Linked DNA regions of Drosophila melanogaster. The protein of the gene in region 2 purifies or fractionates together with the protein of the main gene of each other region. This does not show direct contact. Each region holds a gene or a part of one and is shown on either strand. Other genes may lie near its edges.

Region 1 (3,757 bases), on a different chromosome or scaffold from region 2:
GCGACATTTTTGGGCTAACTTCGGGCCAAGTGGTCCGACCAACAAGTGGACAGATCGCTTGAGGAAATTAAAGGAAAGCCGCACAGTGGGCCCCCGCTAATGCGCTCTGTGAGTTGCTGACGTGCATGGTGACATTTGAGTGCTTTGGGAAAGCCATAATCCTTTCACCTGCACAATCTGAATCTGTCACCTGCAAGTGCTGCATGTTTCATGTGTTGGATTCAGTGTGAAAGCAACGAGCATACAACATGTTGTGCGGAAAACAATAAATGCGCTAAGAGTTATGGAGCTCCCTTTGTCTGGTGTTAAGGGGCAAAATGTTTTTCAGTCTTCTTTTACAACATGAAGTGGACTAAAAACCATGCTTAGAGTAAGCAAAGAGTCTATCAAATAATCATAAATCTAAAGATAATTCATAAAAAAATTTGAAGTATATAAGTCATCTATTGGGATGACGTAAAAATAAGATGTTTCTGCATTTCTTCCTACAACAATAAAGAACGTGTTTAAAACTTTATAATTGATATACGGTATAAAAGAATAAACAATATTATATCATATAAAAGCATTTTGTTTTCACTCTTATTATGGTTAAAATATTTTAAATAAAAGCATTCCATTTTTAATGGCTTAAATCTTCTCGAAAATCCAAGCTTATATATAGTTTTTTATAAGTGTAAAGTTCATCTTCATTTTACTTAGCTGCGGAAACGGATCTATTTTTTTTTTTTCAAAAGTAGTAGCTGATTTCATTCTGGAATCTCTTATCATTTGACAGTAATCAGTTCAAAGTATTTGCACGTTTTTGTATTTTTTTATTGATCAGATTATTCACTCATATAATGTTGTATTTCATTTATAGATGAAACACAATGAATGATTAAATGTACTCCAGTAACGGTGCAAGCATTCATTTGATATTTTGAAAATCAATATAATAGCATAGTTATTCATTTATATATAGACGTAATAGCACATTTAATATGTCAATTCATAGTTTCACTGCAAAACATTTCACAAGAAGAGTAAATAAGACAGTTTGAAACTGAGAGATCTTTCTCTGCTCTTCCTCGACAGTTGCTTATCACTTCACACACTTTATTTATAAGACCCGACATTGATTAAACTGCGACTATTCCCTCTTGTTTTGTATTGAACTCTTGACCCAACTTATCTGGGTACGAGACTGATTCCGATTTAAAATCCACACGTATGCGATGTTAAATAGTGATTTCAACGACATGTGGCGCACAGGTTTTCACAGTTTGAGGTTATTTTCGTAAACTTTCCACGTTCTTTCTCCACATTTTCCGCTACATTTGGGTTTTGCACCGCAATTGCATGTTCCCCATTTGAATTTGCAGCTTTTTACTGCACTTTATTGTAAAAAAAGAGCACACATTAATGAGCTGCATGCTCATTTCCGGTACGTTAGGCACAAACTTGCACAGGCCAGCTAACCCACGCACACATACGCAGAGACTAAGGAATTAAGTGCGACGGCGCAACAGGATGGCGTACAAGTGCCAACGAAGGCAGCAAATGGTGAATTTATCCTTACTTCCGGTTCGAACGCGCCGCCAAACCGTCAACAGGCTGGTTCTTTCTCTCTCTCGCTTTCGTTTCCGGTTCCGTTTTACAGCTCGCCACTCCACTTAAGTTCTGAGGAAGCGTCCGTTGCCCACGAAGCGGCAAGCACGAATGAGGCGATGGATTCTGGCTGATGCTTGATTTTGATGCTGATGCCGCCGCTCGTTTTCCGCTCGTTCGTTCGCAGGCTCTCGGCTGAGCCGACTATCGGCACAGACACTGGGGCACTCGCCCTGTAACCCCGCGATGCACTGAGAAAAAAGATTGATTAGAGCGAAAAAATTAATTCTCTCTTAAAGATAAGAAACTATAAGTCTGCCACTTTGAATACTTAAAATTTACAATAAAATATTTTATTTCTATGTTATATTGAAGAAAATCGTAATCGTAATGCAATCTTTTTTCGAGTGCTTGATGTCAGGCCCACTTTTGGCAGATAAGAGACCATGTCTTTTTTGCGCTGGAACATCTACTCGGGTTTCAAAGTGCGTGGTGAATGAATGGGGGACTGCGAATGGGAATATCGGGAAGTCAGGAGTAGAGGCTGAAGCCGGGTCATGAATGAAATTGTCGCGCGCATATCAGACGCATGCCAACACAATCGAAGTCACCGCTGCAGTCCATCCTAATGGCTGTCAGCTCATGTTATCGGAACTGGACTGGCCGAAAAGCTTCCCGCTGGCTTGTCGCCCACACAAATGCCTTTGGTCATGCCATATTTCAAAGGATTTTGCCGTGGCACTCTATGCCCCGTGAATACACTGGCCTATTGGGCATGTTAATACTCTACCGTATCCCCAACTTTTTGTTTTGATGCGATTTCGATTTCATACTGTCAAATGTATGCCGCTACCACTGATGTGTTTTGCTTATCGGTTTGAACTTTATATTATTTATTCCATCGACTCTGGTCCCTGCCACCCCAAATGCCTCACGCTGTGCGGTGCGTATTTATTTTGTAGTAAAATCAACAGCCGAACCATAAAGAGAGGCCAATCCAAACAAGCGAAGAACCGGAGGACCGGAGTCGCAGTTGCCCTTCATGCGATTGTGGCTGATTGATTGCAGGAGGAGCAGAGATAACACAAGCGCGGCGCAGAGACAGCTCTGATAAGTGGCGTATGGGAGATGTGTGATAAGGAGTCAGGCGAAAGGTTATGGATTGCTGTTAGGAAGATCGAAGCTATCAGCTCCATGCTCTGAATGGTAATATTTTCGAAGTGGATAACATATGGGCCAAGAACTGAGCAAATCCGATGACCAACAGACGGAAAAGTTAATATACTTTATAAGATCTGAGCAAATATAACGCAATGGTATAGTGCTAGCAAGCAAAAAATGTTATATACAAAAAATATTGTTTGAAAGTGTGAGAATATTTGGCTTGTGTGTGGTTTGCTATTTGTGATTTCACCGGCGATTGTTCAATAACACAAACGCTTGTCGTGCTAAAATCGGAAGTGAATGCCTTCAATGGCATTGGTGTTTTTCAATAGGGCAAACGAAGGCAGACCCCTGGCAGCTGTTGTTGTCTAGTTGGGTCAGATTTTTGGGGCTCGGTATCCAAGCTGATCCGGCTGCTCCATCTGTTGCGGTCCATGGCCTGCTTGCTGGGTCAAAAAATATTCCAGGAATTTAATTTTCCAATGAAATATGAAAAATATTATGAACAATTCGGTGGCGCAGCGCGGAGGGGCTAAGGCATGGAAATCACAAACAAAATTAATGCAAAATTGTTATCCCAGGACACAAAAGCGGGGAGTTGTCCAATTGCGTAACAATTCGAATCAAATGCTCGTGTGTACTGGGAGGAACCTTTTGAACCATTTATCGTTTATTTTGCCTTCTTTCCCGGGAAACCCCGGGTATGCAAATCAAACCGGAGCCGAAGTAAAAGGGAAAACTTGTAAAGTTATCAACTGGGGAAATGAGGGCTTTGCAGGTGTCGGAATCGTTTCTAGCTATATCTACTATACTATATGTGCAACTGTATCCCCTGGGTATTTTTGCATGCGTGTCAATAAAATAAGTGCTCCGCTGCATTTGGCTGCTTTCTGTTGCACTTTTCTGCATATGAGTGGTAAATACTTGAGAGCAAATCTCGCCAGTGTCTTTGGGCGTCTTGTGAAGTTGGGAAAACTTAGACCCAACTCGAATATCTCGAATA
Region 2 (3,757 bases):
ATGATTACGAGCCTTAAGTGTTTACAACTCTCAATTAAGGCTGCAAAGTATATTGTGATTTAAATTATTTTTCAGTTTAAATTTTGATTATTCTGCACTTTAGTTTTGAATTTTATATTCATAGCTTTTTAATAGATATTTAAAATACGGCAACTCTTACAAAAATGATTAGTTTTGATATGATGGAAAGCTTAATTTGTGACGTGATGTTAATAGTTGACTAATTCTAATAATTCGCCGGCAATATGTATGAATGTTTAAGCCTTTCATGAATCATAAAAATAAATACAAGTTGATAAAAAGAGTGACTAAAAGATTTATAACTACAAATACCTCTAGCATTTAGAACTTCTAGGAATAAACCATTTTTATGGGCTTGTAAAAACTTACATATGTCCAAAGGAGTGCCGATTTTTCCTGACACATTCAAGAACTTTAAAGGATTTCCGTTTAGCACCGAATTAATGGAACTGCCAAAGTGTCCCATCCCGATTCCCATGCCAGATCCTGTACCAGGACTAATGCTGTTGGCTGCCGCAGGAGCCAGATGCTTCAGCTGATCGAGGGTGGGTCCCAGAGTACTGGCTTTCAGACGCTCTAGCAGCGCCGATCCGCTCAGATTGTGCATTATCTCGCTGGCAGTGGGCGTGGCAGCGGTCACATGGGCGGCATTTACCGCCGCCGCATTGCAGAATTTGCTGATGCTCAGTATGCAGGTGATGAAGAGCAGGTGGAACGATGAGGTGAAGCTGAAGCTGATTAGCTGCTGCACTTTGCTCTGGTAATGTGTGCTGGCGCTGTAGAAGAAGCCACTGGTTTTGGACGGTTCTCTACAGCCACTGCTGCTGCTGCTGCTTCTGCTGTTGGCACTTTCATTTGTTGTTAACTCTGACTGGGTGGTGGTTTGAAAATATTCCGTGAAATGCGGCATGCAGGTTGTGGCCATCTTTTGCAGCTGCTAGAATATATATACGGTAGAAATTGCACTTTAGGCTCAGTGGGTCACACACGCTTTTCACTCTGGTTCGATTTGCCAACTTATTTATACACGTCCATTAAATAATAAGTTTAGGCGAATACACGCAACGTTTGCCAAAAAAACGTTCACAAAAGTGAGAGAATGAATCGACTGTATCGGGATGAGAGTGTAAGGCATAGGTACGATAAACATGCGGAAAAGGCGATGAAGGGAAAAAGAAACATACGATGTTGCGAAAAAACAGCATAAGAGCACAGAAAACACGAAATACACACATAAAACTGCAAGCTAAGGGCGACGCCTTTGGTCAAAGCGAGGGTTAGCCCCTTATGCTGTCCCTCTCACTCATTTTAAAACATTAAAATAATTTTTTATTTGGATATATCTGCTATCAGCGGTATAACGGTTGATAAGCCAGGTAAGCCTGGTAAGTCATGCGCAGCCACTACCCATTGACACCATTATTCCAGCTCGGAATGGGTTCTGGTTGTTCAAATCTTGTATTTACTTTATTGAATGGCAAAACACATGTTGGACTAAAATTTATGCTGTTTTTTCACATGACATATTGACGTAACGTTCGGCCAAAATAGATTCATACATTTTTTTTTAATTAACACTTATTTCCGCTCGACAAATGCGATGAGCTGGCCTTAAAGCCCCGGCTTGAACTTTTTTTTATTTGCTTTGAACTTTTGCTTTCCGAAACTTTTTTCGCATTCCGAAATTTCTCGGTTTAACGGTGAAGTTATATCCAAAGCATGGGGCGTATGAGCGATAAGCGACCAGCGACGACCTAGCGACACGCACTGCGAGTACAAACTGCCGGAATATCGCTTCCGAAGTGAGCGGACCAATGGAACCGTCTTAGAAACTTCGGCAGTGCTCGTCTTTCGTTCGGCAACGAACCGACGATCGCCACGCGTACCATATCACACCTGCGAAGAGAAAAGAGAGTGTCGACGTCATCATCGGGGGGAGCCCCAAAGCGTTGAAAATCAAAAGCCTCGATCTCCAACACAAAGAGAAGACAAAGCTACCAGTGCGCAAATAAGCTGACATTGAATCAGAGCTAACAGGTGGTTCTCTCTTCGGCCGCTCTCTTAGAACGTGTATCAATCTATTTTGGAGGTGTGTTCCACTATTTGTCGTTTCGGCATCCAATTAGTGAGGTAGCAATTTCTAAAATTACAGGTCTAAATTGTTTGTTGGCCCGGGTCAATCAGTCAAGGCTTCGATTGAAACTAGTAATGGGCTTTGTAGCATAGACACACGTAAATCACAATTGGTCAATAAATGTTAAACCATTTACTGTAGCGGAAATTGATCTATTGACAGCACCTGTACCTCTGCATTTCAATTCATAACATGGTTTCCATTTGAATAACAAAGATGCTTGAGAAACACGATGGGCTTTTAGCAAGTCTGGATATCATCAAAGTGTAAAATCATCAAGCTTTGATGAATTATTCCCCTTCGGTACATTTCCAATTGAGATTTCTTCAAGGAACAGAAATATATGTGCATTTTTAACAGCTGTGCATCTGAAGATGAAACGAAATGCTACAAATTCAGCAAAAAATTGTAAATTGGACAATGTTGGAAATAAAAACTGGAAAAATAGCTGGCAACTTACCACTCACACTTTGAAATCAATCAAATTAAAATCCCATCCACAAAGTCATGTAATTATATCACAGGAGTACGCTACACATAAGTATGTTCTGAGTTTATTATTCATCATATTTTCTTTTTAGTGGGGAAACATATACATATGTATGTACACTTAACAAATACAGTTAACAAAAGGCTAATACGTATGCAGTAATAATTTTAATATAATAAAACGACTCTGCTCCTTGACAACAGAAATATAATTTCTCAACTTGCTCTAATAGTAGACCATAAGCACAATGATCTCTTTGTCATGTTTACGTATAGTAATATTAAGTTGCGTCATTTAAAAATAATGCACACTTACAGCTATATACAGTTTGGAACTATGTAATTTATAATTAGCAATTAGATTTCTCGTTTCCTTTTACGTTTCTCGTAACTATTTCTGTTTTGTTTTTCTTTTGTTTATTTGTGATAGAACTCTGCGACATAGTATTTTGTACAGCATCCTTTAAGGATGCGCTCCAAGGTGACCCGCCGTCCTTGCCGTGCCTTAAAATTTTAAAATAATTAATTTACACAATACACAGAGTTGCTCAGTCTTCAGGCGTGTGTGTTTCTGCCGCGGGTCTCGAGTTAGCATTGGTCATCTAATTTTCCCAGCGACCAAGCGCAACAATCATCCAATCCACATTTCACACGATTCCAGAGGAATCAATCTAATACGAGGATATGCCTATGACGGGTGAGTACTGCAAGATAAATTAAGATAAATTATAATAAGTATACCGATTAATATTATGGAAGGGAAATTAAATCATTTGCGGGTGTGTTAAACCCAATGCTTATCATTATACTTGGATTTTTATGGTAATTAATAATTGGAGACCCACCTCCTCATCCATGACACTGGTGTGGTCGTAGATCCGCGCCGGCAGATTTTTGCGCAAACTGAAGTGATCCTCTGTGGTGGTGGTCTTGCGGTAGATGGGGTTCTCGAAGTTCATCGAGTTGATGCGTCGCTTGCTGCAGTAGCGGTAGCCAATGAGCAGGAGCTGTCAGGGCACCACATAAATTGATTAGTTAATTGAATACCCCGAACGTCGCCACATCTCTGCCCAATCAACTTACCACCGATAGCAGGACAGCGAATCCACTAAG

The links. Proteins that work in one complex are often made in the same cells at the same time.
Region 1: the proteins of LpR2 (region 2) and Apoltp purify together in Drosophila melanogaster (affinity purification with western blotting; one study listed by BioGRID). This does not show direct contact.

What each region holds. Positions count from the first base shown.
Region 1 is NT_033779.5:9,632,133-9,635,889, reverse strand, and holds the start of Apoltp (apolipoprotein lipid transfer particle), read right to left. Parts: upstream 1,712-3,757; 5' UTR 1,562-1,711; intron 1-1,561.
Region 2 is NT_033777.3:25,738,665-25,742,421, forward strand, and holds the start of LpR2 (lipophorin receptor 2), read right to left. Parts: upstream 1,802-3,757; 5' UTR 1,581-1,801; intron 959-1,580; 5' UTR 947-958; coding exon 391-946; intron 26-390; exon of another isoform or gene 1-25. Other genes in the region: LpR1 (lipophorin receptor 1), read right to left, coding at 3,316-3,348, 3,490-3,651, 3,728-3,757.